Linked DNA regions of Oryctolagus cuniculus. The protein of the gene in region 3 interacts with the protein of the main gene of each other region in a pairwise test. Links are inferred from orthologs where the notes say so. Each region holds a gene or a part of one and is shown on either strand. Other genes may lie near its edges. The genes, in order: ARIH2, KCNQ5, DISC1, PPP5C, CCDC88A, AGTPBP1 and OLFM1.

Region 1 (3,313 bases), on a different chromosome or scaffold from region 3:
TTTCCCTCCCTCCCAACAATCATCCAGGGGGAATTAAAAGTCCTGAAAAGAGGCCAATTCAACATGGCCTCTACCCTGGTAGAAACAAAAAGCAAAAAGATGAGAAGAAAACGTAAAATGACTAGGAGGTGTTGCCAGCGTCTCTCAGGAGTGGGGCCCTGGCTGCCGCCTGGGGTCGTGAGGGCAGAGCCTGCAGCATGCAGCATGGCCGTCAGGAGACCTGCAGCCACGTCTTCCTCACCCCAGCACGTCCACGTCCCAGCCTAGGTGTCATGGAAATCCTTCAGCAGGGTTCTCCTCCGCTGCTCTGCTATATGCATCTGGTTCTCCAAGTCCTGCACCAGGGAAGCAAGATGGCTGCTTGCATGGCCCAGGCTCCGGAGCAGAGTAACCAAAGCCATATGTACCATGCCAGGGGGTCCAAACAAGTCAAAACTCTGCCCTTCCCAACCCTCTTGGCAGCAGCTTCCAGTTCACAAAGCAGTACCTTGTGCCTCCTACCACCAGGCCAGTCCTCTCATCTGCCAGAGGACAGCAGGCACTTACCCCTCGGTCATAGCTGTCAGCACGCTCCACTTTCCACGAGAGGTTTTCGATCTCAGCCTCCAGCTGAGCCTGCTGGTATTCAAACTGTAAGGGCAGGGTGAGAGGATGAAAAGGAGGGGGCTGCAGCCAGGCAGAGCTAGTAGACAGAGGGACATGCAGCTACAGACAACCTTGACACTGTCCTCAGAAAGCACTGTTATTCCCTGAGCCCAGGGCCAGCAAGCAAAATCCAAACAAAAGGTTGCACAGTGGCAGGCATTTAACTAGCAGTTGACACTGGCTAAGATGCCTGCATCCCACATGGGCGTATCTGGGCTCAACACCCAGCTCTGGCTGCTGCTCCTGCCAATGGAGATAATGGGAGGCAGCAAGGAATTGGGCCCCTGCCTGCCATACATGTAGAAGATCTGGACTGGGTTCTCAGTTCTGGCTTTGGATCCAGCCAAGAACTGCTGCAGGCATTCGGGGAGTCAATCAGTGGATCGGAGCGGGTATGCACGTGCTCGCTTTCTCTGCCTCTCAAATAAGTTAAAGGGGGGGACGCTACTTGAAGAATATGGCCACATGGCACAGCCACACTAATTTCATTTTTTTCCCAGCTCTTCTACAAATCAAGCGTCTTGAAAATACTCTAATCATTTGACTTAGTACTTATAAATCTGAGGAGATAAAGCTTTGTGTATAAAGGTTTTCCTCAGTTCCTATTTACAATAGTGGAAACCAGAAATAATAAATACCCAAAATCATCATACAACCCTATAATGAAGCACTTACAGTCATTAAAAAATAATATTTGGGGTAAACATTGTGGCGCAGTGTGTTGTCACTGTGTGGGACGCTGACAACCCATATAAGAGTGCCTGAGAGAGTCCTGTCTGCTTCGGATCCAGCTTCCTGCTCATGTGCATCCTGGGAGGCAATGAGGTATGGCCCATGTGCTTGGTCCCCGTCACCCACGTGGGAGACCTGGATGGAGTTCTTGGCTCTTAGCTTTGGCCTGCCCAGCCTTCCCCTTCCCCTCTCCCTCCTTCCCATTATGGACATTTGAGGACTGAACTAGTGGATGGACGAGACCTCTCATCATTTTGCCCTTCAAATACATTCTATTAAAAAAAAAAAAAGTTTATTTATTTGAAAGGCAGAGTTAGAGGCAGAGAGAGAAGTCTCCCATCCACTGGTTCATTCCCCAAATGGCCACAATGACCAGGGCTGGCCAATCCAAAGCCAGGAGCTAGGAGCTTCTTCCGGGTCTCCCACATGAGTGCAGGGGTCCAAGGACTTGGACCATCCTCTGCTGCTTTCCCAGGTAATATGGTCAGGGAGCTACATTGAAAGTGGAGCAGCCAGGCCAGTGCTGCGGCTCAATAGGCTAATCCTCCACCTGCGGAGCCGGCACCCCGGGTTCTAGTCCCGGTCGGGGCACCAGATTCTGTCCTGGTTGCTCCTCTTCTTCCAGTCCAGTTCTCTGCTATGGCCCGGGAGTGCAGTGGAGGATGGCCCAAGTTTTTGGGCCCTGCACCCACAAGGGAGACCAGGAGAAACACCTGGCTCCTGGCTACGGATCAGCGTGGTACGCCAGCCACAGTGGCCATTGGAGGGTGATCCAACGGCAAAAGGAAGACCTTTCTCTCTGTCTGTCTCTCTCTCTCACTGTCCACTCTGCCTGTCCAAAAAAAAAAAAAAAAAAAAAAAAAAGGTGGAGTAGCCAGGACTCAAATGGACACCCATATGGAATGTCAGTACTACAGGTGGTGGCTTTACCTGCTATGCCACAGCAGTGGGCCCTACATAAATATTCTTTAAAACAAATGGTATTTACAAGTCCATCAAATAGTGACAGCTGTAACAGTAAACTGTCCTAACAATAAACAGTTATATATATATATATATATATATATATATATATATATATCCTTGTCTTACCTATACTTTTTTTTCCTTATATATACTTTTTAAAGACTAGAAAATGTTAATCAACAATGGTCATCTTTCTGGTGAGATCATGAATGAAAAGTTTTGAATATTTTCCAACAATTAACAAATGCAAACCACTTTATAAGCAGTGGGAAGAAAACTTTACCTAAGAAAATTGAACAATGGTATAAAAATATCGACTCTAACCTAGCGACATGCATGCCGATATCCTCCCAAAGCATAGGCAGGGCCTCCCAAGGAACCACAATCTTTTAGCTAATCCCCCTTTAAGCACGGTTGGTCATCTGGAGGCTTAGGTGCATGTGCCTGTCTATTGCCCAAACGACAGCACCTGAGATGCGCCTGGAGCTGCCCGATTCTGCACTTCAATAGCTGCATTCTGAGTTTGCCCTCCCAACGCTCAGGGCCCATCCTGAGCTGAAGGAAAGGGCGCCTCTGAAGCTACCAGGGCAGAGTGCAGGGACGGTTTTGCCTTACCAGCTTCTTCCTGGGTCCAGACTCCATGTAGTACGCATAGGGATAGGTGTATTGCAGAGTGTACCGACACTGCAGCAGGAGAGAAGAGAAGGGACCTGTGTCTGTGATTCTAACCTACCTCTACCTCAGGTGGCTCTGAAAACTCTTGCCCCACCATGCAGATTAACCTGGCTCTACAGGTCTGGGCTTCAAAGAATCAGAGCCAAGCCAAGGAGAAGATGGACTGGGGCAAGACATGGGGAAAGCAGAACAGAACTGATCACAGGACACCCACCTTTCCTTTTTCAAACTGTGATTTATTACCAGCACTGCCTCAGTGACTTCTCCTTCTTGGGTTGGACATCAGAGTCCACAT
Region 2 (4,596 bases), on a different chromosome or scaffold from region 3:
ACTCTCTAGAAATTGTTTTCTTATAATTTGCTGTATTATTAATGGTCTGGTTAGGCTTATAGCTCAAAGCAACTTTGCTTTACTAATTTAATGTGTGAAGTCCACCTACACTACAACTCATTTAAAATCACAAGCAGCAATTGCCAAAAATGGCCTCTTTCTCCATGGTCTGCTGCAATGGCACACAATGCTCCCTGAAGACGCTACCAGCACTTCCTTCTTTGTGCTGCTATGGGTCTGCTACCCACATCTGTTGCTCAGATACTATGGTTTCAGACTCTTGAAGTGTGTAATGCACAACTTCACATTACTTACAACATATTGACAAGTCCATAAGCTATCTCCTATCTACCACCAAAGACACTGCTAGACCAATAAAGCCAGGGAAACAGAAGTGTATCCAAACTTGAGCCATTTGAGAAAACATTTATTAATATTTAAAAATCCTGTAAGGCCACGAAAATCTGTTAAACACCAAAAACACTCAAAAGAAAATGTTGCATTGCAGGAGGTTCTCATTGCTGTTCAAGAACAACACAGGAAATACAAAGTATGTCCACCAATCAAAGTTGTCTCTAACCTTTCCTGAATACAAAATGCATAAATTACCCAAAAAAAAAAAAAAAGAAAGCCTATAAATGGCATCATATTGAAAATTCCAAGTCATGACTATTCTGGGCATACTCTGGTAGAAACAGTCACTACCCATGCAGTATATATTTCCTGCCAGATTGAGCATTCACTTTGCTAAATGTTTTAGGATATTCTGACAGGTCAAAATAATTCACTAGGCTCATTAAGTAATAGGATTAATTACAGATCAACCCAACGAGATGAACATGGGAAACAACAGTAGTGTTTCTCTGTGTCTATCACGCATGACGGTAATCACATCCAAATCAATGAGGCTCTTGCAATCAGTGAATAACAGAAAGTTGTGTCTTTTGAAGCAATAATGACACAACAGGATATCGTCTTTGTGTACACTGTGAAGCAGAGAGTTGACTGGAATATTCTACCTCACACCACACAATCTGGGACTGTAAAATTTTCCAGACACCAGAACCCCACAGATTGTAGACTTCACCAATTTCCTGACTCCTACGTGGTCAAATTCCAGGTTCACCTATTTACAAAACCAGCCCCTTCTTTTATGTTGTCTTAAAAAAAGAAATGACTCCGCGTTGACGCCAACCCTTTATCCGGGCTGAGAGATATGTGTGGATGACCCGCCTCATTTCTAAAAGAAATCTAGTTCGTGTGTTCAAAACATATTTCAAAACATATTTTACTACGAAACAAGGAACGCATCAGTGACTGCCTGAACTTTCTCCATGGGTCTCCTAAGACCTAAGTCTTTACATTTCACTTTAACATTAAGAAGCCAGACAGGGTGGGGGTTTGGGGGGAGGGAACTAAAAAGAGAAAAAGAAAAAAGGAGAAAGGGAAAGAAAAAAAAATGAAAAGAGTTGGGGGCGTAGCAGCATAAAAACAGCCTTAAAATGTCCAGATCAACCTCACTCTAACGGGAGATTAAATGAATGGACATTGTGGGAAAAACAGTAGTAAACTTTAAAGCCACTGAAAGGTTTTAAATGCCTAAGGGGAAAATAAACATTTGCTTCCAATCATTTTCTCATTAAGCATTCTCTGCTAGATGGCGAGGGCTGACTTAACACACACACGCACACTTTGACTCCACGCCACAAACGCCGACTTAACCCACTGCCTGATCCCTGTCCGAGACAGCCCATTTGCGCTTCAGCGGGTGCACCTCGGCCCGAGCTCCTGCGCCCCACGGGCTGCGGCCGCAGCGAGGGAGCACGGCTTCGCCCAGCCCGCTCGGCTCTTGGAGACCTTGGCCACTTTCTCTGTGGCAGGAAGGGCTCCACGCACTGACAGATTTTCCGTTAGTGGTGGCTGGGGTGGTGGCGAGGCATGCTTCCGGACGCACTTAAAACCCAGCCGCTGTCTCCACCAAGTAGCAGCTTCCCCTGCTCCGCCCCCAGCACCGAGGACCCAGCCCTCGGTGTCTCCTCTCTCCACCCTGTCCCAACCTGCCAGCACCTCCCCTGTCTACTCTCGAGCCTCAAAGGGCGCAAATCCTCCCTTTGCATTTCCCAGCTCCCGGGCGCCCCGCTCGGTTGAAGTTTACGTATCTCAGGACCTAATTGCTCCCCATTATCCGCGTAGCTTAAGTCTGCCGGGTTCTCCCGCCCCAGGTGCCTGAAGCTACTACCAGGCAATTCATTGGGTGTCCTCAGGGAGACGGGTGCAAAGCTGCGGCTGTGGGACAGGTGGGGATGGGGAGGTGCATGGCTCCAGGAGAAAGCCCACTAACACGTGCAATGAAATAAAACCCCCACGTGTGCGCGCGTGAGTGTGTGTGTGTGTACGCGCGCGCTTATGCGCGCGACGGGCCAAGGCGCAGATGCCAAGCACGTTCCAGGGCACCCAGCTCAAGGGGCTTCAGGAGCGGGCGTGGCGAGGGGCGCGCGGGGGGCGCGGGTACTCACACGAACGCGTGGTAGACGAACGCCCAGCCGCGGGGTCTCTCCAGCACGTTGTACAAATAGTTCTGCACCCGCCGGTACTTGACGTTGCGCCGGCAGCTCTGGCTACTCGTGTAGGAGAGCGGCTTCCCCAGCAGGCTCATCCGGGCCCCCTGCTTGCCCCGGCGGCTCTCCCTCAGGCCGCCGCTGCCGCCGCCGAGCGCGGCCGCGCGGGTGCCCAGCAGCAGCAGGCCGTCGCCCCTGGCGGCCGCCGAGTTCAGCAGCACCCTGCCGCGGCCCGACTCCACATCCTTCATGCCGCTGCCCAGGCGCCCCCCGCCCGCCGCCGCCGCCGCCGCCGCGCCGCTCTTCACCCAGAGCCCGGCGGCGCCGCCCTCCTCTCCTCCCGCGTGGTGGCGGGGCATGGCATCACCACGGGCACCGCGAGGGGGGCGCCAGCGCCTGCGTCGGGGGCAGCGGCCTCATGTGCGGCGGCAGCCGACGGGGCGCCCGCCGGCCAGCGACCTTCCGCCGGGGAGGGGGCGGGAAGCCGGCAGCCAGCACAGCCCCCGGGCTTCGGGGCGGGGGCTCAGGGGCGTGCGGAGGAGGCCGACGAGTCTCAATTGCTTGCAGCTTGTAGCTTCGGAGTTCGGAGTCCGGACCTGTTGGGGGCGTCGCCGGGAGAGGGTTTCTCTCGCGCCCTCGTATTCCCGCGGCTACCACTGCCTCCTTGCCCAAGTGCCCCCAGGGCTGGAGCGGGGGAGTGCGGGGCGCTCTGAGGCGGCGCGCTCCCACGCGCGCACGCCCAGCCCCAGGCTCTCCGTTTCTCCGCTCTTTCCACTCTCCACGCCCAGCCTGTGTCTGCTCCCCTCTCCGCGGTGCGAGTGCGGGTTGCTTCTCCCGGGGGCTTTGGAGCTAGCTGTCCGGAAGGTTAAGTCGGCCAGGTGCCCCGAGGAGAAACGGGAGACGCAGGTCGCTGCGCTCTCCAGCCGCTACGCCGCGCCAGGTCCTGCCATCCTCCCGCAAAGGGTGCGAGCGGGCACTGCCCAGCCCTGCCCTGCCCTCCAGGTAGCAGCTCGGCCGGCCGGAAGGGGCGCGAGGGGCGACGCTCTGGGCGCAGCCAGCCAGTCCTCGGCAGCTCAGTGGGCAGGGCCGAGGGACGCGTCTGCTGAGCCCGCGAGGCAGGCACTGGGCATCTTCCCGCGGCTCAGTCCAGCCTGCGGGCTGTGACTTTCCATGCCAGCCTCAGAACGCAAGCCCGCGGCTAACTGGACATCCTTCGCGGCACGGGGGTGGGGTGTGGGGAGGGCGTCAAACTCCGAAGTGGCTCCTTTGCGGTGAGCGAGCTGCCCCCGGGGCTCCGCCTGACAGCCGAGCCTTGGAGACCAAACCCAGTTCCCTCCGTAAAGAAATTTCCATTTAAGTCCGAGAAAGTCATAAAACTGCTAAGTCGCGGTGGCGGTGGCGGCGGCGGCCCCAGTGCCTGGGAGAGGAATCCTGGAGGGTGAGGAGCCCCAGGACAAGGCTTCTCCGGTTCCCACCCCGCCCCTGCGCGCTGCTCTAACTTACTGGGTGAGAAACGTGCTGCGAGGAACCTCCGGCTGGGGTTCCCGCCGCCTCAGGCAGCCAGGCGCCCCAGAGCCTGCGCCTTTGGTCGGGAGGGAAGCCACGGGGCCACTGGCCTTCCGTGTGTGGGATAACGCCTAAGCGGTTAAACATCACACACCGCTTGGGGGAACTTCCTCCAGCAGAGTGGCTTTGCTCCCAAATGAGAGAGAAAGCAATCTCCACTTAGACTGAACTAAGCTTGCAAGGTGTATTATTCCGCGTGCCTTTCTCCTTCCCTAATCCTAAAGTAATACTAAGGCAAAAGTCTTATTTCGGCTGTCTCCACCCCTCTGAGATAAACACTCTACCAATTCCCGCTTCTACCCACACACACACCCGCCGCAGCTGCTTTCTGGGTCCCGCAATAGCTGAATTGAAATACTGTACTTTTACTTTTCATTGTTGTCGCTATTGTTTGCGCGAAGCCCTCTCCCGTGCTCCTGGTCGCCAGCAAGACCTTGCTTTCCCCCAAGCCTCTGGGCAGCAAGCACCAGCT
Region 3 (4,087 bases):
CCCTGGCCACACCCACCACATGCTTCTAGGTATTCCTGAAAGCAGACACTCCACTGATCCATCTAGATATAATCCAGAGGTAAAGTCTCCACAGTGAACAAAGCAAAGAAGAAACCAACGAGTATCTCCACAAATGTGGGATAACAAATGCACCAGTTCAAGAAACAAGAATAAAGAAAACAACATGACACCCCCAAAAGAATGCACTTCAGTTCTAGACTGTGAAGATGATGAGATTGAAAAAATGCCACAAATGGAATCCAAAACATTGATCATAGGATTACTTAGAAGTAATCAGAAGCAAATGCACAACTAATGAATTCCATACATGACATGAAAGAAAATTTCTCCCATGAAATTGAGATCTTAAAGAGAAACCAAATGAGGCCGGCGCCGTGGCTCACTAGGCTAATCCTCCACCTTGCGGCGCACCGGGTTCTAGTCCCGGTCGGGGTGCCGGATTCTGTCCCGGTTGCCCCTCTTCCAGGCCAGCTCTCTGCTGTGGCCAGGGAGTGCAGTGGAAGATGGCCCAAGTGCTTGGGCCCTGCACCCCATGGGAGACCAGGATAAGCACCTGGCTCCTGGCTTTGGATCAGCACGGTGCGCTGGCTGCAGCGCCCCGGCTGCGGCGGCCATTGGAGGGTGAACCAACAGCAAAGGAAGACCTTTCTCTCTGTCTGTGTCTCTCACTGTCCACTCTGCCTGTAAAAAAAAAAAGAGAGAGAGAGAGAGAAACCAAATGAAATCTTGGAAATGAAAAATTCAATAGAACAAATAAAAAACAAAAAAACACAGTGGAAGCCTTAACAACAGAATCAGTGAAACAGAAGAAAGAATATCCAACTTAGACGACAAAGCACAGGAAATTATACAATAAGACCAAACACAAGAAAAAGAAATTAGAAAAATAAAAAACACTGTTGGGAATCTATAGGATACTATCAACAATCAACAAATGCTGGTGAGGATGTGGGGAGAAAGGTACACTAATCCACTGTTGGTGGGGATGTAAACTGGTAAAACCACTATGGAAGTCAGTTTGGAGATACCTCAGAAATCTGAATATAGACCTACCATAGGACCCAGCCATCCTACTACTGGGTATTTACCCAAGAAAAATAAAATAAGCAAATAAAAGAATTATCTGCACCACCATATTTATGCAGCTCAATTTACATAGCTAAGACATGGAATTCACCTAAATGCCCGTCAAGGGAAGACTGGATAAAGAAATTATGGGATATGTACTTTATGGAATACTACATAGAGGTAAAAAAAATGAAATCTGGTCATTTGCAACAAAATGGATGAATCTGGGAAACATCATACTTAGTGAAATAAGCCAGTCCCAAAGGGACAAATACCATATGATCTCCCTGATCTGTGATAACTAATAGAGCACCTAAAAACAAATCTGTAGAATGAAATTGACACTTTGAGAAGCAATGACTTGAACAGCCCTTGTCTTGACTGTTGAAGAACTTTTTTAAAAATGGAGAATGGGACTGGGAATGGGAGAGGGAGTAAGAGGTGGGGTGAGATTGGGGGTGGGAGGGCAGGTATGGTGGGAAGAATTACTATATTGCTAAGATTGTACTTATAAAATTTGTACTGATTAAATAAAAGGTTTCTTTGAAAAAAAAGTATCTATCATGAAATCAAATGGATGAATGAAAGATATACTTTTTTTAAATGCAAGATTTTTGAGTTTTCATGAAAAATGAAAAAATTTGTCTACCCCAAGTCCATGTGTCCTACAGATTTAATTGGACTGCACTTGTAACAGACTCCCTACAAGGAAATGTCCTTCCTACCAGCCAGAATCATTTCTTTCTGTTCTCTTTTGGCACCAAGGCTGAATATCTGTTGTGCATTTAATACCACCCCTGCTTGGCTCTCTTTATATGCATTGTATGCTGGGCACGCTAGCATTGGATTTTATGCTCCATGTTAATAGGTTCTAACAATGGAGTGGAAAACAAGATAGAAATAAGCCCTGACCTCAGAGAACAAACCAAAAATCATATAAATAATTAGGATTATGATAAGTAGTCTGAAGGAAAAGTACAAGATGTTAAAGAGAGAAATCATAAAATGTCTCTAATTGGAAGGGAGGGAAGGTTCCTGCAAGAAAAGTTTATTTAAGCTGAAATCTGAAGATACAGCAATTCAGCCGGATGTAGGTATGGGCATATATGGACTGCTGTTGTTTGATGGGAGAGAGATGGTCCAGGAAAATAAAATAGCACATGCATTTGTACTGAGCTGGGGAGAGTTAGGCAGATCTGAGGACCCAAAGAAAGTGCATAGGTTGGAACATCGATATGGACAGAGGCTATGTTGTATTTGGCCACTGGGTCTAGATGGTCTTGTAGAAGACCAAGTGGGCCGGCGCCGCGCCTCACTAGGCTAATCCTCTGCCTTGCAGCCCTGGCACACCGGGTTCTAGTCCCGGTCGGGGCGCCAGATTCTGTCCTGGTTGCCCCTCTTCCAGGCCTGCTGTCTGCTGTGGCCAGGGAGTGCAGTGGAGGATGGCCCAAGTGCTTGGGCCCTGCACCCCATGGGAGACCAGGAGAAGCACCTGGTTCCTGCCATCCGATCAGCGCGGTGTGCTGGCCACAGCACGCCGGCCGTGGCGGCCATTGGAGGGTGAACCAACAGCAAAGGAAGACCTTTCTCTCTGTCTGTGTCTCTCACTGTCCACTCTGCCTGTCAAAAAAAAAAAAAAAAAAAAAAAAAAAAAAGACCAAGTGGCTATGGAGGACCAACACTTATTGTGTGAGAACTTGATGGTATACAGATCTGGCACTCTGAATCTTCTGGCTGAAATAATTTGTTACAATATGAAATGAAATTAAGGATAACATGTCTAGCAGACTTCTATCTAGGTAAATAAGCTATTGACTTGGTCACCATTGATGAGTCACCATTGGGTTAATTTTTATGCTTTTGTTTCCTCCTCTGCCTTAGCTGCAAGTGTCCCCTGCTTGGAAGAGTGTGGGAAGCTGACTTGGAAGCTTGTCGACTGCTTATTCAGAGTCTGCAGCTACAGGAAGCCAAAGGCAGCCTGTGTGTGGAAGATGAGGGGCAGATGGGTGACTTAGAAGGAGCTGCCTGGGCAGTGGCTCCCAGTGTCCCTCCCAGTCCCCACTCTGAAGATGAGAGGACGACCCTTCTGCAAGCTGACCAAGAGTGGAAGGCTCATCATACCCCCTCCCCTCTATGCAGAGGAGGCGAACAAAAAGAGGTGTGTCCTGTCGGCGTGGCCTTCACAGGAAGGCCTGCTCTGGTGGGTGCTTTGGGACCATGCTGTACACAGAAGCAGCACATTTTGGGCAGGCTTATCATCAAACCACACAAACTTGGAAAAGTTTTTTTTTTTTTTTTTTTTTTTTGACAGGCAGAGTGGACAGTGAGAGAGAGAGACAGAGAGAAAGGTCTTCCTTTTGCCATTGGTTGACCCTCCAATGGCCGCCGCGGCCAGCGCACCGCGCTGATCCGAAGGCAGGAGCCAGGTGCTTCTCCTGGTCTCCCATGGGGTGCAGGGCCCAAGCACTTGGGCCATCCTCCACTGCCTTCCCGGGCCACAGCAGAGAGCTGGCCTGGAAGAGGGGCAGCCGGGACAGAATCCGTTGCCCCGACCGGGACTAGAACCCGGTGTGCCAGCGCTGCAAGGCAGAGGATTAGTCTAGTGAGCCACGGCGCCAGCAAACTTGGAAAAGTTTTAATAGCTATTGAATATGATTACAAAATTAAATAGAATTTTTATAGAAGAAATTTTAAACAGAGAAGGACAAGCAGGGAAAATGTTTAACATATTTAGTTTTATTTTTATACTAATATCATAGCTAGATTTAGAATATACAGGCTAATATAGAACTACTTTATATAGGCCACATTATACATGTCAAATATAACTTACAGTTATTATCAATATCCCATCCATGTCATATGTGACATTTAATTATATGTTTAGAATATATTATATTATTACTTTATGGAATTAAGCATTCAAGTATATGTCTACATACTACTAATTTTCTTTACCAAAATCAGATCATAATAAATGGTTGTAATGTGTTTTTTC
Region 4 (4,087 bases), on a different chromosome or scaffold from region 3:
GCCTGTGCACCGTGCTCTCCCCATGCACCTGCAGGCAGGTGGACAGACTGCGGAGGCCGGCTTCAGTCTGTGGGAGGAGCACCTCCATTTCCAGATGGAGTTTCCCTCCCCAGCTTTCCCCGAAGCACCCTCTAAGCTGTTTGTGCAGCGCCGCAGGCTCCATTGAAGGCAGAGCGCCACAGAAGGGGCTGGGCTGGGCTGGGCCAAAGCCAGGGGCCAGGAACCCAGTCCAGGTCTGCCCCGCGGGGGGCAGGAACCCCCTTGGCCGTGGCTGCTGCCTGCCAGGGTGCGCACCAGCAGGAAGCGGAGTCGGGGTCAGACCAGGCCTGCGGGCTGGAACGCAGATGCCCCGTCCAGCAGGCTGAGCACCGGCCCCTGGTGCTTCTGCCAGGATCCAGGAGGCTCACTGCCCGCCCCCCTTCCAGATTCTGGTGCAGGTCAAGGAAGTCCTCTCCAAGCTGAGCACGCTCGTGGAGACCACGCTGAGAGAGGTGCGCTGGGGGCGGGGCCTCTCGGACACCCCCACCCGACCCGGTCTCGTCTCTGCATTCTCGTCCCCTGACTGTCTCCCCCGACTGTCTCGCATGCGGCTTCTTGGTCTGCCCTGACCTTTGCCCCTCCCCTCACCTCTGCCCCCTCCCCACGTCTCTCTCTGGGCCCCTCCCTCTCCGGTGGCCTCTTTTCTTCCAGACAGAGAAGATTACGGTATGTGGGGACACCCATGGCCAGTTCTACGACCTCCTCAACATATTTGAGCTCAACGGTTTACCCTCAGAGACCAACCCCTACGTATCCTTGTGTGCAGAGCCGCCTCGCCCACCCCCAGCCCTGACCCCCAGCCCAGGTCGTCTCGGGGAGGGGAGCCCCTGGAGAGCAGGCTCCGCCAGGGAGGGAGCGGCCTGAGCCGTGAGCAGTGCCCAGGTGGGGGGCAGTGGCAGGCTGGCCTGGCACTCCAGGCTCCTGGCTCGGTCAGCTGTGCTGTGTGAGCCGAGCCGGTGGCCGGCCTGGTGTCTCTGAGCTGAGGTGCCGTGTGACCCGAGCCAATGGCCGGCCCGGTGTCTCTGGGCCCGATGTGCTGTGTGACCCGAGCCAGTGGCTGGCCCGGTGTCTCTGAGCTGAGGTGCCGTGTGACCCGAGCCAGTGGCCGGCTCGGTGTCTCTGGGCCCGATGTGCTGTGTGACCCGAGCCAATGGCCGGCCCGGTGTCTCTGGGCCCGCTGTGCTGTGTGACCCAAGCCAGTGGCCAGCACCTGGCAGTGCCCACGCCACATTCCATCCTGGCTTTGCCGCTCCCCAGTGGTGGGACCGTGGCTGGTTATGTTGCCTCCTGGAAACCACCCTGGTTTCCTCTGGTGAGTGCCAGGGCCGCCTTGGCGCCCTGAAGGGTTTGCAGAGAGGATTCCGGGCTGACGAGCGGTCGCTTTGTTGGCCACCAGGTTTGTGAGCTGCTGGTGGGGGCCCTGGGCCTGTCCTGAGGCAGCTGCAGCAGACTGCACACCGGGCAGGGAAGGGCCTGGCACGGCCTCCTGAGCCCCACTGAGTCCCTGCTCCTGGGGGAGAGCTCACGGGAGCTTGGGGGCCAGGCGAGGGGAGAGGACAGCCCCCCACCCGTCTGCCCCAGCCCACGGCTGTTTCCTTAGCGGGGTGGATATTCAATGGCGACTTCGTGGACCGCGGCTCCTTCTCCGTAGAAGTGATCCTCACCCTTTTCGGCTTCAAGCTCCTGTACCCAGACCACTTTCACCTACTTCGAGGTGAGCCACAGGGCAGCAGGCTCAGGTCCCTGGGGGCTGGGGGGCACTCACTCTCCCTGGCCTGATCTGTAAAGCAAAGAAAGCCATGGCAGCTGCACGTACAAGGGTCCTGGGGCAGTTTCTGTCATGTCTGTGTTCCACCTGGGTCCGTGTGAGGGCGCAGGTCCGGGCAGGGCCGCTGGAGGAGGGGACGGGTGGAGCTCTGGGCTTTGATGGGGGCTGATCAGGGCGGAGTCTGGGGCTGGCTCTCAGTGGTTCCCACCTCCAGGAGGCTGCTGGACACCGGGAAGAGCAGGGCAGGTCTGGTTCTCACGTGAATGACAGCCTGGGGCAGGGGCTGCCCTGTGAGAGGTCGGGCCAGTGGGGAGGGGCGCAGAGAAGCAGCAGAGCAGGAGGAGGGAGGGAGTGGGCTCCTCTGGTCAAGACCCTCCCTCACCCCCGGCCCCTTGGGACTGCCAGCCTGGAGGGTACACAGTGGGAGGACTCGGCCACTGCCCAGGACGGGGGTGGTTTCGTGCCTCGGCCACTGCCCCGAGGGTGGAGCTGTCAGTAGGGCAGGGCCTGGGGCCTGGGTGAGATCTCCCAGTCCAGTTGCTGCCTTCAGGAATGGTCTGAGCGCAGGGTCCACCCCTCTGGCTGCTGCGACGGGCCGCTGCGGGCGCTGGGACTGACTGGCTCGGGCTGCCTGCCACATGGGCAGTCCAGCCTGATGCCCAGGCCTGCACCTGCGGGTGCCGGGCGGGGGGAGACGGGGGACCTGCGGGCTGAGGGCTCTCCCTCTCCCGCCGACGGCCAGGCAACCACGAGACGGACAACATGAACCAGATCTACGGCTTCGAGGGCGAGGTGAAGGCCAAGTACACGGCCCAGATGTACGAGCTGTTCAGCGAGGTGTTTGAGTGGCTGCCGCTGGCCCAGTGCATCAACGGCAAAGTGCTGGTGAGGACGCGGGGATGGGCACCCGGGCAGGGGCGGGGCCGGCCCTCCCCCCCTCCCCGGGCACACGGGCAGACGGGCGGGGCCGGCCCTCTCCTCACCTGGCCACCCCCTGCCCCCCCAGATCATGCACGGGGGCCTGTTCAGTGAGGACGGCGTCACTCTGGACGACATCCGGAAGATCGAGCGGAATCGGCAGCCCCCAGACTCAGGTGAGGAGGTGGGGCCGGCGCCCCAGCAGGGCGCAGCAGGTGAGCCTCGGGGCCCCTGCTGGCCGGGGGGCTGGAGCGTCCACGGGCAGGGCGAGGCTGTGGGGAGCCCTGGGAGCCCATCTGCTGGCCCTTGGAGGGAGGCTGCAGCTCCGTGCACCTGTGCGAGTGTCACACAGGGCTGGGGGTGCAGCATTGGAGCCGACTCCCCGAGAGCAGCAGCTGCCGCCCGCGCACAGTCGGGCGAGCCCGGGCAGCTTGGGGGTGGGAGGAGCCCACGGTGTGGCTGGCGTGAGCTCGACTGGACCAGATCCTGCAGGGAAAAGTAGGTGAATGGGGTGCGGGGAGGTCGGCAGGGAGGCTGGGGCTGGGAGGGCAGGCCCGGCAGAGGAGGGCCCCGTCCACCCGCCTCGGGCCGCGCTGGGGGCTGGGCACGGCCGGCCAGGAAGCCCCTGACGCCTCCCTCCACCCCCCAGGTCCCATGTGCGACCTGCTCTGGTCGGACCCACAGCCACAGGTGAGTCTCGGGCCCTCGGGGGCGGCGGGGGTGGGGCGGCAGTCTCTGAGCCCCGTCTCCCGCAGAACGGGCGCTCGGTCAGCAAGCGAGGCGTGAGCTGCCAGTTCGGGCCTGACGTCACCAAGGCCTTCCTGGAGGAGAACCACCTGGACTACATCATCCGCAGCCACGAGGTCAAGGCCGAGGGCTACGAGGTGGCGCACGGTGGCCGCTGCGTCACCGTCTTCTCCGCCCCCAACTACTGGTGCGTTCCCGCCGGCCGCCCTGCCGGCCACAGGTTTTGTCTGGGTTCCAGTTACTTAAGGCCGAGCAGCAGAGGGGATGCCGCGTGCCCTCCCTTGCCCTTCCCCGTCTGGGCTGTGGTCTCCGCCGACACCCCCAGTGTCTCCCAGCGATGGCACGTCCCCCGCCAGAGGCGTCTGCGCCATTGCCAGAGCCCAGTCACCGCCGTTCCCCGCGTCGCTGGTCAGAGCAGCACCGAGCGAGGGCCCCGTTTGCGGTCTCGTCCCCGAGTCCCCGTCCCATTCCCCACTGCCCCAGCTGGGCCGCTGGGCCTGCCGGGCCGCCTGTGCTCCTGGCGTCTCCTGGGGGCAGAGCCAGCGGCGCCATCAGACCTCAAGTCTGGTCTCCGCTCCTCTGCCCTGGGAGCCCCGCCCGCCTGCCCTCCTGTCC
Region 5 (4,635 bases), on a different chromosome or scaffold from region 3:
TCATTTGATAAGGACATGTGTTTCTGTTTCCCAAAAGCAAGATCCTTTCTCATGTAACTGAAGTAGGAGAGCTTTCATTTGAAGTTTCCTCCCAAAGATTCTTAATTTTAGGGGGAATAATGATGAAGACAACATCAACAACACTTATAAAATATTTCTATAAGCTGCCATTTCATTGAACTGCTTTACATATAAAGAAAGTGAAGCACAGAGCAGCTTAGTAACTTGCCTAGTCTCACAGAGCTAGTGAGCATTGGAACCATGCAGGAGAACTCCAAGCCCAGGCTCTCAACTACCTAATTAACAAACTGTGCTGTTTCTTAATTCAGTGCTATGACAAAAACATTCTCACTGCTAATTTAAAATAGTATGCAAGTATTCAAAGTAGATGTTTATGTAAGTGCAAACATAGCATACATTGTCAAACTATAACGCTATGCTTTCTCAAAAAATGTGTTTTACATGCCCATTTTAATCTCAAGAAAAAGATCTTCATTTCTCTTTGAAATGAGGAGTAACATTTGATTTTGCTAGGGAACTGTTAAAATTATTTTGATGGTTCCAGCCGTGCATAGCATAGAGATTTATAGTAAATATGTAATCTGTTTATTTGTCGCCCAAGTTGGATGACTTCCAAATGTTTCCTCTTTATAGCTCTTGATTTGTTTGGATTTTTTTCAATGGCCAAATCGTCACACACACACACACACACAAAAATGTCTAAATCACGTTTGCTCTTGTCAGGGAATAGCAACATGCTGAAAGATAGATTTGGTTGTTTAAAAATCCTACCACATTTCACTTGCATTCCATGCTTTAGAGGGCTGGATGTTAAAAAAAAAAAAAAAAAAGGAAAAGGAGAAGAAAAAAAGAACTAACTTGTGGCTCGCGTCCCTTTGCCCTTCGCTGAAGTCAGTTTTCCCATTCCATTCTGTTGGGGAGCAAGCATGCTGAAGAGATCAAACCAAACTGTCCGAAAAAGGCTGTCTGCATCCCTCATGTTTAAAAGAGAAGAATTTCGTTCCCCTTCCTTCACACATCAAAGAAGGCACTCGGGGAGGAAATAAACCATAATTAGGCACGAGTGAGCGAGCAGACAGACCCTTTCCTTTGCCTTCGCCATCCCCGCCCCCCGCCCCTGGCAACCATCCTGGGCGCTAGCAAGGCGCCGGCCACCGCAGCAGCTGCAGCGAGCGCGGCCCCGCGCCCGCGCCCGTCTCAGAATCTGGGCGGCGGCGGGGCCAACCCGGGAACGCGCTCGCCCGGGAGCGCGCTCATGCAGCGGTTTTCTTCTCCCACAATCCAGAGGCAGCGGCGCGGGAGGGGCGGGGAGTCGGCGGAAGGATATCGGCGCGGAGGGAGCGGCGCGTCCCCTTGACGGCGGCCTCGCTGCGCTGGTTGGGCAGCGAGTAGTGGGGTGTGACGCGGCACTGCGGTTCTGAGGCCGTTACTCCGGCTCCTCCAGAGAGGGCGGAGGAGGAGGTTGGAGCTCGGCGGTGATTTTGTGCCAGGGCTTCCCAGAGGCGCTCCGAAGAGGCTGGCGGGGCTCAGGCAGCCGGAGGTTTAGAGACGCACATTCAAGCCCCCATCCCCCGGGAGGGGAAGGGGGCTGGAGGCGAGGCGTGAGGGCGGCGGAGGAATGGTGTCTGCTCGGGGGGAAGGGGCGAGCCCTGCCTGTCGGTGGTGAGGGGCTGCAGACCGGGGAGGCTTCGCGGGTCGAAGCGGCTCCATGCCCACCGGTGGGTGGAACGTGTAGAGGGGAAACGCGGAGGTCGAGCCTGGCGGCCCCTTGGATCCCCTAAGGTGGTGTCTAACGTGGTGTTTGATAAAGCCCACGTTGGGATTAATTCATTGGGGGCAGTTCCGCTCGCTTGGCTGCTCTAGGAGCCGGGCAACCTTGACGGGCTTTTTGTCTTGCTGCTGCAGCCCTCTTTCCCCTTCCTCCTCCTCCAGATGCCTTTTCTCTGCCCCTCCTTGCCCGGTACCGACATTTCCAGCGCAGGCTGCTGCTCGTGGGGGCTGTCGAAGCCGCTTCTCGGGATTTCGGCTCGTTTCCCTCTGGGGTGTCTTTGGAGGAGGGAGCGTTTCCCCCCCTCCTCGATGGGGTTTTCCTCGCTTGCCAAAATGGACTTTCATTGATTTCTACTTCAACGTTTCGTGACCAATTCCCTAGGCGTATTTTTGTGGTAGTTCCTTTTTTTTTTTTTTTTTTTTTTTTTTTTTTTTTTTTTTTTTTTTTAAGTAGAGGATCTGTAAAATGGAGAACGAAATTTTTACTCCCCTTTTGGAGCAGTTCATGACCAGCCCCTTGGTCACTTGGGTAAGTGGAGTGCCCTTTATTGTAGATTTTGCTGGGTTATTTGTGGCTGCAGAGATGGAGGTGGGCGTTCATGCCCTGACGATCCTTCTGTTCTAGGTTAAAACGTTCGGACCTCTGGCTGCGGGCAGTGGGACCAACCTGGATGAATATGTGGCTTTGGTGGATGGGGTATTCCTGAACCAGGTCATGCTCCAAATGTAAGTCTTTTCTGGGTAACTTGTTTTCTTTGAGAAATAACGTACTGTGAACTTGAGACTTGATGTTTTCGCCCCTAATGTGGTTCTTGGGTTAGAAAAATGCAGGTGGTTCAAAAAATTGGATGTTGAAAGGAGTGAAAATCTTCCGTGCCCAACCCATTTATCGCAAGCCAGCAATTATGCCTGTTAAAATTGTGAAACTTTGCATTTTTCGTTTTGCCAACCTTGTGTTGTCACTTATTGTCTTCAGTGCTGAAAACCAAACCACACGGTGTCCTCTTTGATAATCTGGTAAGAAGAGAGAGAGGGCAAGAATGCAAATCTAGTGTCCTAATAGGGGGGAAAGGACTTTAATGTGAAGCTATGTGCATTTGATGCATATCTAAAAATAGTTATTTTTATACTCAGTTTTTGAAGCTAGTGAAGTAATAACATCTTAGAATTTCATACACAGTTCTGAGTGGTGAAGAGGACTGCTGCTGCAGCATGTAACTTAAATGTCTATAATAATTCAGGTCTGATTAGATGATTTATTGTGTGGACTTTGTGTCATATTTGAAAGATCATTTTAAGGTGTTCTTAGTTTTGAAATGTACATCATTGAAGGCTTGATGAGGACTAGACAACCAGTGATTTAGTAGTCACTTCTTTGTCTTTTATATTTATAATATTAGATCTATATTAAATGTTTTTGTTTGTTTCTGCAATGGAAATTGGATATTGAAAGTATATTGGTAGCTGGATTAGGGCAGTAAAAACAGCTGCATTTTTATTATTAGAGGTACTATAGCATACATGCATTCTAGGTCCTTCAGTGTAGGTTATCACACTGTGAATATCATTACAGTTGTGCTGTAAGTAATTAGCCTTATTCTTGAATAGAATCTGATTATAGGAGTAGTTTGGAACCTGTGATTGAAAGATGTTCTCATCTTTTATATATGTGGGAAATTAGTGCCTTATAAATCCATAGTTGCTAACAAGTAGAGAACAAGTCTATTCTGCTTTGAGAACTTTACATATAAATTAGCTATTCTGTATTTTACTGGAAGTTATTTTTCAAGTTAGTTTTCTGTTTAAAAGAGGTTAGATGTTAATTTCACAAATAATTGTTCCAGTTAGAGTTTGTATGCTCAGAGATTTATATGTTGATCCCACAGGGAGACATACTACTACCATACACTTTCCAAAAATGTTATATTTGTTTAGGTGCCTGAAGAAATGTATATGTTATCAAAATTTGTATTTTTTTCCTTAAGAAAGGAAGAGTGTAGACATTAATTATTTATAGGGTTAATAAATGTATTTTTGGCAGCTATCCCATGAAATTATTTTTTATTTTTGAAATATCCCACTATTTCCTAAGCGAAATGGTAGAAAAATTAAACTAACTTCTATTTTAGGAAACACACATGACAGGAAGAGTAGCCATTATGGTAGAGAGTCACCTTTTCCCCTATGTCTGTCTGTTTCAGAAAATTTTGAATTTGTGTGCATAACCCCTCCCCTTAAAAAGTATCTTTACAAAAATAGTAAAATTAGTTTTCTACTTTAGTGGATTTTTAAAATAATACTTTTTCCAAAAAAAGAGAAAGATTTGGGGCTTTTTAAGTCTTAAGTAGCTAGCCAAGGTGCTAAAAACAAACATGTTGGCTTATTTCCATTGTGTATAGGTATGTTTTGAAAATGATGGTGTTCCAAAATAGTGGTTGCCAGGGAGTTGTTTTTTTGGGAGGACTAGCTCCTTTCCAAACCTCAAATCTGCCACTGTGTTTTCAGTTCCACCTCTCAGTTTCTTTAAAAGTGTTTTCAGCGTCCTAATTCTGTTTGAATGACCCGTATAAATTAAAGAAAAAGAAAATTAAGAAAAAGAGAAGTATGCTTTTGCTTTTTTTCAAGAAAAATCTGCTAAAATAACATCGCAAATTTATCTTAATGAATTATTTAACTTTCAGGACAACAAAATATACATTGTTTTAAAAGTTATATTTTGCTAATTTTGAAATTATTAGGTTTTTTAAAAGATTTTATTTGAAAGGCAGAGTTAGAGAGAGAGAGAGGTCTTCCATCCACTGGTTCACTCCCCAATTGGCTGCAACGGTCGGAGCTGGGCCGAAC
Region 6 (3,502 bases), on a different chromosome or scaffold from region 3:
AGTATCCTGATCTTTCCTAAATTAAGGTTCATGTACTTAGAGAACTGGTTCGACTTCCCAGCCCGGTTAATCTTTATTTCCTGAGATGGATAACAAGTAAGTGCCTTTCAGCTGCCCCATACTGTGTTTTTAAACACGGCTCCCAAGACAACAAAAAGAACTTACACTACAGATGCAATACCTTCAGTTGTACAAAGAAAAAAATCACTGGTTTGGAAAACTGTAAAACCTGAGAAGCACGTTTAGAATTTCTTTTCCATTCTAATTAGTTGAAAAATATTCTACTCTAGGAACAAGCAAGGAAGATGGGGGCCCAAACACTTGCATCTTGGCAAGGACCTGTTACTGGAGTATCTTCTGGGGTGTGTTTTGTCACAACAAAACCTGTTGCCCATCGCTTGACGACAAAGGCATTTCCTGCAGCAGCGTGGCTAGAATTCAGGAGGCTATAGCCACACAAAATACTTTCCATCCACGGCCGTCACCCTGGACTCTACCTTTCACATCAGCAGCCCCAAGACTTTCACATCAGAAGCAGCACTACTCAGGGGACGCTCACGAAACACACCATCAGGGAAAAGAGGTGTACGAATACATCTTTTATGATATGTACAAACACACCCATACATCATAAAAGACTTAAGAGTAGTAAATTGGGCTTTTTTTTTCTTTTCTAAATTTACCAATGTGTCCAGAGATTCTCACATAGTGCTATGGACCAAATCACCTGAGCTGGCCGAAAAGGATGACGAAATGAATGCAGCATTTAATAGAGTTTTTATTTGCTTAATTTGGTAAAGGTAGAATGTGATGGTTTCAAGGCAAACCCTTGGAATATTTCAGTCACAACCCATAACATGATTCTGAAGCACAGTCTTCGATATCTACCCGACCTTACACAGACACAGCTATAGAATTCCATGTACAATATATTCTGGTCACGAACGACTCAGGGATTTCAACAGCTCTAGAATTCAGATGTCATATTTTGACACACTGCAGGACATAACTATAACGAGATAAAAAATCCATGCAATGCTACTCGGGTTTCTTTTTAAAAGTAAATCTAGTTTTTGATCATTCAATGCTATATAAAGTGCATTGAATACCTAAAATAAAACAAGTGCCAATTTTATCACGAATTAATAACATATTTATTGTCCTGAAACCAAATAGGCCCAAGTTACTTTTTGTCCTTTTGAGTCAGTTCTCTATAAACTCATTTCTCTCAGCTTCCCCGTGTAGGGTATTTCGCTTCTTCTCTGCGGTTAGTCAAGAGATATCAGGGGGCTCAAGGGAGGTGCGTTCTGGATAGTTCTGAGTCAGAGAGCGCTTCTTCGTGAGCAGAAGGTTCATAGTCTCCCACATTTTCGGTCAGTTCGATATCTAACTCATCGTTACTTTCTGCGCTGTAATCAACTTCTTCAAGGAACCGAGGTTCATCTTCATCCAAAACGTAAGTGGTAGGGCTGTGGTCAAAACATACACAACACGCAAGACTTCATGAGAGGCTGCTGTTCTAACAGAAGGCTAGCTCACTAAACGGGATCAACTTGGATTCCCATAGAATACGAGCAGCTTGTATTAATTTTTAAAACTGTGTCCAAATGAACAAGCTGAGATATGTATAACAGTTGAAAGCTCCTTGTATGAACAATCAAGGGTGACATGCTTACTTTCAATTCTATTACAAGAGTGTCAATATACATCCTACTCAGATTTCTAAACAAAAAAAGTGGGGCTCTCTCATTAGGTTCTTTCTTGGAAGGATTTCAACCGTTTGCAGGCTATTAAGATTTATATGTAAAGTTCTGTAATAATTAATGTAAACCAGGCCGTATAGGAAACTGTAGGTATCTGGTTCAACTGATGCACTGACATCACTTGTGCCAAGACTATCGAGTGATCAGCCATCATAAACACAGCCTAAAGACCCACTCCCACGGCTGCCGCAGCTCGGGGAAAAAAGTGAAAAACAAGTGAACACTCCATCCTGAAACTAATTACTCTCCTCGGGGACGCAGAGCAATGTCTGCCCGAAAGCACTGAGCACTTCTCAATGCTCAGTAGGTAGGCTGGCAGGGAGTGAGACCGCCTCTCCACTAGGTCTCGTGACATACTTTCTTCTTGAAAAAGAAGTCACGGCATTCTGATTTCTCTCCATTTGTGAGATATCAGACACGTGTAAGCAGCACGCACACACGTGTACACTGTAGCAAAGAAACATCACAAACATTTGCAAGTTCCGAAGGCAGTGACCAAAACCACTGTGATTTCATACAGAGGTATGTTTGTTTATATCCTGTCTGTTTCCAAAAGGCATTTCCAAAAGTCAATGGATTTAAAAGCCATCAACTCAAATAATGCAAAGGAACAATAAATTGCTAAGATGATCAGAGAAGCAGATGTCATGAGGCACCTAAAATTAGGGCATTCCTGCAACTGACTGTTAAAATCCAGTTTGGATACCCACAAGGCAAGGATGGAGAATTAACGGATGGTATAGTTCTAATTTTTGAAAAGGAGAAAACAAAATCCATCTGGCAAGAGCACTTTTTTCCTAGAGTTACTTTAATCTTACTCATTAAAGAAAAGAGAAAAATGCATTGGAAAACCACCTTGAGCTAATATAATATAGCAAACTCCCTCTGCAGCACTCAGAGCTTGCCCATGACAGAGCAGTCCTGATAAATCAAGCTGAACACCATACCTAATGCAAGAACAATGTCACAAGTTCAATACTGTAAATCAAATATGCAGAGTAAATCGGCTAGGTCTTTAAAACACGAAGCTATCGAAAGAGAAGGTTATGTGCCCTTTAAAATGCCTGTTGCCATCTTTCTTTCTTTTGGACTACAATCACTCGTTTCCCCTCCTTGTTTCAAATTCTCAGGAGACATCCTAGGTGAGTCTTAGAATAGATGGAAATGGAGTTAAAGGAGGAGGCGAGAGAGAATTGAGAAAAGGCGAGTTGTCTATTGCCACAGACTTGGGTGTCGCTATTTTCTTCCTCGAGATGTTGTAACTAGAAGTGACCATGGAAACGCAAGGAGAAGGACCTGCTCCAAGGCCATGCCCTGTGTATGCACAGGGGCTGGACCCAGAGACAGGGTGCACGGGGATCGATGTATCCTGACACAGGCAAGGAGTGCACAGCCTCTGCGATGTGGCCGGCTGGGTGAGTGGGCTCGCGAGACGTGAATCTCAGCCTCCCAGGACCCCAGCAGAAAGCAGAAGGCCATACACGAAAGTGGTTGTGGGGCTGCAGTCATGCACTGGGGTCGGGGTCGGGGCCAGGACCTAGCTTTCCACACGAAAGTGAGTGACCAGAAAAGTCAAACCAATCTGAACTAAAGGAAAGGGTTTAAAGAAAAAGCCTTGTGTCAGAGGCTACGAGGAAGCAGGAGAGGAATGTGACATGGGAGGGACAAAAATATCCTAGATGGAACCAAACAAGCTAAACAGCAAGAACACTTAGAACAATGCTGATATTAGATGCTGA
Region 7 (4,087 bases), on a different chromosome or scaffold from region 3:
TGGCTCTCAGCGGCCAGGCGAGGCACACACCGGGCACCCACCCCCGTGGGCAGAGCAGACGCCCCAGAACCCTGTGCACCGGCCAAGGCCGCCAGCGAGCTACTTCCTGGCCGAGCCTTCAGAGTCCCGCCAGGTGGCTGAGGACAGTCCTGGGAGCCACCACCCTCCCCCACCCCACCCCGTTCTGAGACCCCCGTGCCAGCCTGCGCAGGAGCCGCAGGGACCGGGAGCGGGCGGGGCTGTGGGCAGGAGGCAGCCGGCCTGGCTGGGCGACAGCGAGCAGGTTTGCTGCCCCTCGCCCAGGCTGTCAGCGCGGTCACCCGGCAGCACTGGGTAAACAGCCGGCAATCAGTGCGTGTGCTTGGGATGCGGGAAACCTTCTGTGAGGGGGTGTGGCCTTCCTGGAGGGCAGGTGGGCCTGCTGCCTGCCGCTGACCCCCGCCCTGCTCCCTTGCACCTGCTGCGCCGGGGTGGGGGTGGGGCATCGGGAGCTTTGGGGGCTGTGGCTAGGATGCCGCCTGGGGGCGGGAGGCTGGGGCGGCTGTTGGAGCCCTGGGCTGGAGGCAGCTGGCCAGAGTTTGTCTCTTGTAAGTCGAAGTTTGATCTTGACAAATTCAAGATTTAAAATCTTTACAACTTTCCCCCTCCAGCAACTAAGAGCTGTGTGTGGTCCCTGGCTGCTGCTCTCCGAAGGGGGTGGGCAGAGGGGCCGTCTTCCCAGCCTGCAGGCTCACGGCCTGGCCCTGGGCTTGGGTAGCGACACCGGCGTGTGGCTTGCTCCGGCTCAGGCTTGGGCCAGCAGAGTGATTTTGTTCCGCGGTAGTACGTGGCCCCGTCTGGCCTGGCTCATCCAGGAAACCTCCCTGGAGGAGGCGGCATTCAGGCTGGGCCTTGAGGGTGAAGGAAACCAATGGAAAGGAGTGCCTGGGGCACTCGGAACGACGGAGTGAGATGGGGGCAGGCAGACGGCAGGCAGGCCCAGGCCCGTTTCCCGTTGATGGAATGGCCCGGCGGGGGGGGGGGGGGGCCACAGAGCCACCGTCGCCCCGTGTTGTGCTTTCCAGACTGGGTTCTGAACCGGATCTGTGCACACTGCCTGCAGGCACACAGGCTGCCGTGGCTGCATTTTGTTTGCTGGACTGCAGGGGATGGGGGCCACGCCACCCCCCCCGAGCCTGGCCGCCCAGGCCGAGCCCGGCCCCACCGACCCCCGCGGCAGAGGGTTTTCAAATTCAGCAGAAATAAATAAAACCAGAAGAGATTTGCTGCCGGGGAGGTGTCCTCCTGCCTGGCCGCGGGGTCGGGTTCTGGGGAGAGGACCCCCGTGCCACGGCCGTCGTCCTCTGCTGCACTCCCGAGCCGGAAGCGAGCAGGCCGGCGGCTGCCGGGGGCCTGCCCGTCCCCCGGAGCTGTCTGGAACCCCGGTGAGCGGTGACGCTCCGTCTGAGCTGGGCTCGGTGCGGCTGTGCCGGCACAGGCGTGTGCGAGCCTGCAGAGCCGTGATCGCTCGTGATGCCGCGTGTGACGGATGGCACGCGAGCCGGGAGGTGGGGAGGGCCGTTCCCGGTTCCTTCCTCCTGCACTTAGCCCTTCCAGGGAGGGCTGGGGCTTTATACCTGGGGGCGGGGCCGAGGGTGGGGCCAGGCAATGGCACCTGGAGAGGACCCGCCCCCAGGGTCCTGGGCTCCCGCGTCCCCCAGATCCCAAGATCAGGCTCGGCAAGATGGCAGAGAGGATGTTGACAGAACCAATTTGCTCTGTGTGTGATGCTGCCGATGAGCTCGTAAATAATGCATGGAGCCCCTGGTGGCTGGCCGCGTGCGTGTGTGCGTGCGTGGGGGCGGGCGGGGGCGGCTGAGCGTGTGTGTGTGTGTGCATGTGCGTGCGTCCGTGTGTGTGCATGTGTGTGTGCGCGTGTGTGCGTGCGTGGGGGCGGGCGGGCGGCTGAGCATGTGTGTGTGCACGCGTGTGTGCGTGCGTGGGGGCGGCGGGCGGCGGCTGAGCCAGCCGGGCACCGCCGCAGCTCTTGCCTCGCGCCTGTCACCCTCTGCACAGGTGCAGAACATGTCGCAGTCCATAGAGGTGCTGGACAGGCGGACGCAGAGAGACCTGCAGTACGTGGAGAAGATGGAGAGCCAGATGAAGGGGCTGGAGTCCAAGTTCAAGCAGGTGGAGGAGAGCCACAAGCAGCACCTGGCCAGGCAGTTCAAGGTGTGTGCGCCCCCCACGGCCCCCCAGAGCCAGGCTTGGCCCCTCGTGCTGTCCCGTCCCCTGCAGCGGTGGTGACCTGGGAGCCCCGGGGGGACACGGCCAGGATTGCTCTTGCCCCGCACAGCGCCTTGCCACAGCGCTCCTGCCTGGCACGCAGGAGAGCCATCTGTGGGCGAGCCGGGCGCCGGCGCCCCACGGCCCCTGCTCCCCGGCCGCGTCTCCCGCCCACTCCTGCAGGTAAAGCACACTAGGCAGGGGTTAGCACGCTTGGCCGGAGCCATCTCTGAGCACAGATCACTCAGGGCAGGTCGTCCGTGACGAGGCACGCTGTGGACGGACGGGGGTGGGGGAGACGTGGGCCCCAGGGCCTCTCTCGCCTCGCAGGCGGTGAAGTGCGCACGGCTCCCGGTGACTGTGGGCACTAAAGCTGTGGAACCTGCACGCGTGACGTGCAGCTGGGGCGGCACCCCTGCTGGCTGCTGGTTTCCAGAAGGTTCCGTGGAGAAGTGCGTGCGGCCTCGGTTAAGATGCCGCTGCATGCTGCCGAGACGCGCGGCCCACGCGCCGGCGGCGCGCGCCCGGAGTCGCACAGCCTGGCCCCCGCTGCAGACTGCTCCCGAGCTTGCCCCCCCGTCCTTTTTATGCTAATGCTGTTCTTTGATCTGCTCCCTGCATGCAGCGAGGACTAATTTTCTTTTAAAAGCGAGACATTAGACAGACGAAACGGCAAACTAATGAAGTTATACGGTCTGTGTTACCCGTGAGATGCCGGCCAGCCCGAGGCCTCCGAGTGGCGGCAGCCGGCTGCTGGCCCGCCCGTGCCCGCTCCTCACGGGTCAGCCTGGGTCCCCCCGGGCTTGACGGGAAGGGGCTTGTGTCTCTGGCTCCCAGAGGGGCCGGCTCTCCCTGCCCTGTGGCCCGGAGACCCCCTCTAAGCTCCCGGGGCGTCCCCAGGCCACACCGGCCATGCGGGGGTCCCTCTGAGGGCCAGACGGGGGCGCCGCGGCTGTGGGGGAGCAGAGGTAGGCTCCTGCCCTTGCTTGACTGACTCCAGCAGTAGCGTGTGATTTTTTTTTAACTGACCGTGAAAGTGCTTGTCTCAGGCCGTCTGCGCGGCCAGGCTAGCGAGCTGGCTCCTCAACGCTCTCTCGTTTTCTTGCTTGCAGGGCTAACTTTAAAGAGTTTTTTCATGCTGCAGTGAGAGAAGACGCAGCCCACTCCCCTGTAACATGAGAGAGCCAGACAGCTTTTTGCACCTTGCATTTTTACTCTATTTTCCAATCCGTAGCACCATATCACTAAGGAAGCTTGAACTCAACCAGGAGCCTCCCTTGCATGCGGCCGTAGATGCATCCCAGGAGTAGCCCGAGCCCTTGTCGATGCGGTTTTTGAAAAAGGAAGAAAAAAAAGAACTCTGTGTTGTCTGTGACGTAACCGCATGTAACTTCCGGATGTTGCATTGTGCCAATAAAGACCTTTCCCAAAGCCCTCGGTGTCCTGGGACTGATTCCTACGCCTTCTGCCGGGGCGGGGCGCGGCGGCGCACAGCCCCGCCCGTGGGAGGAGCCGGCGAGGCAGGCCTTACCAGTTCTTGCATGCTAGGCACTGAACCCAGCTTATTTTAACCTTGCAGGCGATTAAAGCGAAAATGGATGAACTTAGGCCTTTGATCCCTGTGTTGGAAGAGTACAAGGCCGATGCCAAATTGGTATTGCAGTTTAAGGAGGAGGTCCAGAATCTGACGTCAGTGCTAAACGAACTGCAAGAGGAGATTGGCGCCTTTGACTACGATGAGCTGCAGAACAGAGTGTCCAGTCTTGAAGACAGGCTGCGTGCATGCATGCAAAAACTAGGTAGGCCCGGCGCCCGGGGCGCG

Evidence for each region.
Region 1: the proteins of DISC1 (region 3) and ARIH2 interact in a two-hybrid assay, tested with the Homo sapiens proteins (2 studies listed by BioGRID and IntAct). The link is inferred for Oryctolagus cuniculus from reciprocal best matches to the Homo sapiens genes DISC1 and ARIH2.
Region 2: the proteins of DISC1 (region 3) and KCNQ5 interact in a two-hybrid assay, tested with the Homo sapiens proteins (2 studies listed by BioGRID and IntAct). The link is inferred for Oryctolagus cuniculus from reciprocal best matches to the Homo sapiens genes DISC1 and KCNQ5.
Region 4: the proteins of DISC1 (region 3) and PPP5C interact in a two-hybrid assay, tested with the Homo sapiens proteins (2 studies listed by BioGRID and IntAct). The link is inferred for Oryctolagus cuniculus from reciprocal best matches to the Homo sapiens genes DISC1 and PPP5C.
Region 5: the proteins of DISC1 (region 3) and CCDC88A interact in a two-hybrid assay, tested with the Homo sapiens proteins (2 studies listed by BioGRID and IntAct). The link is inferred for Oryctolagus cuniculus from reciprocal best matches to the Homo sapiens genes DISC1 and CCDC88A.
Region 6: the proteins of DISC1 (region 3) and AGTPBP1 interact in a two-hybrid assay, tested with the Homo sapiens proteins (2 studies listed by BioGRID and IntAct). The link is inferred for Oryctolagus cuniculus from reciprocal best matches to the Homo sapiens genes DISC1 and AGTPBP1.
Region 7: the proteins of DISC1 (region 3) and OLFM1 interact in binary tests that used the Homo sapiens proteins (3 or more experiments, as listed by UniProt). The link is inferred for Oryctolagus cuniculus from reciprocal best matches to the Homo sapiens genes DISC1 and OLFM1.

What each region holds. Positions count from the first base shown.
Region 1 is NC_091441.1:100,168,766-100,172,078, forward strand, and holds part of ARIH2 (E3 ubiquitin-protein ligase ARIH2), read right to left. Parts: intron 3,054-3,313; coding exon of another isoform or gene 3,028-3,053; coding exon 2,959-3,027; intron 631-2,958; coding exon 547-630; intron 336-546; coding exon 264-335; 3' UTR 1-263.
Region 2 is NC_091436.1:99,971,029-99,975,624, forward strand, and holds the start of KCNQ5 (potassium voltage-gated channel subfamily KQT member 5), read right to left. Parts: upstream 3,045-4,596; 5' UTR 2,918-3,044; coding exon 2,517-2,917; intron 1-2,516. UniProt on the Homo sapiens protein: Pore-forming subunit of the voltage-gated potassium (Kv) channel broadly expressed in brain and involved in the regulation of neuronal excitability.
Region 3 is NC_091444.1:51,498,977-51,503,063, forward strand, and holds part of DISC1 (disrupted in schizophrenia 1 protein), read left to right. Parts: intron 1-2,970; coding exon 2,971-3,247; intron 3,248-4,087. UniProt on the Homo sapiens protein: Involved in the regulation of multiple aspects of embryonic and adult neurogenesis. Required for neural progenitor proliferation in the ventrical/subventrical zone during embryonic brain development and in the adult dentate gyrus of the hippocampus.
Region 4 is NC_091449.1:10,796,270-10,800,356, reverse strand, and holds part of PPP5C (serine/threonine-protein phosphatase 5), read left to right. Parts: intron 1-425; coding exon 426-491; intron 492-690; coding exon 691-789; intron 790-1,647; coding exon 1,648-1,753; intron 1,754-2,549; coding exon 2,550-2,692; intron 2,693-2,813; coding exon 2,814-2,901; intron 2,902-3,374; coding exon 3,375-3,415; intron 3,416-3,480; coding exon 3,481-3,659; intron 3,660-4,087. UniProt on the Homo sapiens protein: Serine/threonine-protein phosphatase that dephosphorylates a myriad of proteins involved in different signaling pathways including the kinases CSNK1E, ASK1/MAP3K5, PRKDC and RAF1, the nuclear receptors NR3C1, PPARG, ESR1 and ESR2, SMAD proteins and TAU/MAPT.
Region 5 is NC_091433.1:147,168,965-147,173,599, forward strand, and holds the start of CCDC88A (girdin), read left to right. Parts: upstream 1-1,382; 5' UTR 1,383-2,257; coding exon 2,258-2,320; intron 2,321-2,416; coding exon 2,417-2,517; intron 2,518-4,635. UniProt on the Homo sapiens protein: Bifunctional modulator of guanine nucleotide-binding proteins (G proteins). Acts as a non-receptor guanine nucleotide exchange factor which binds to and activates guanine nucleotide-binding protein G(i) alpha subunits.
Region 6 is NC_091432.1:136,355,212-136,358,713, forward strand, and holds part of AGTPBP1 (cytosolic carboxypeptidase 1), read right to left. Parts: intron 1,470-3,502; coding exon 1,292-1,469; 3' UTR 1-1,291. UniProt on the Homo sapiens protein: Metallocarboxypeptidase that mediates protein deglutamylation of tubulin and non-tubulin target proteins.
Region 7 is NC_091432.1:236,271,374-236,275,460, forward strand, and holds part of OLFM1 (noelin), read left to right. Parts: intron 1-2,055; coding exon 2,056-2,211; intron 2,212-3,844; coding exon 3,845-4,064; intron 4,065-4,087. UniProt on the Homo sapiens protein: Contributes to the regulation of axonal growth in the embryonic and adult central nervous system by inhibiting interactions between RTN4R and LINGO1. Inhibits RTN4R-mediated axon growth cone collapse.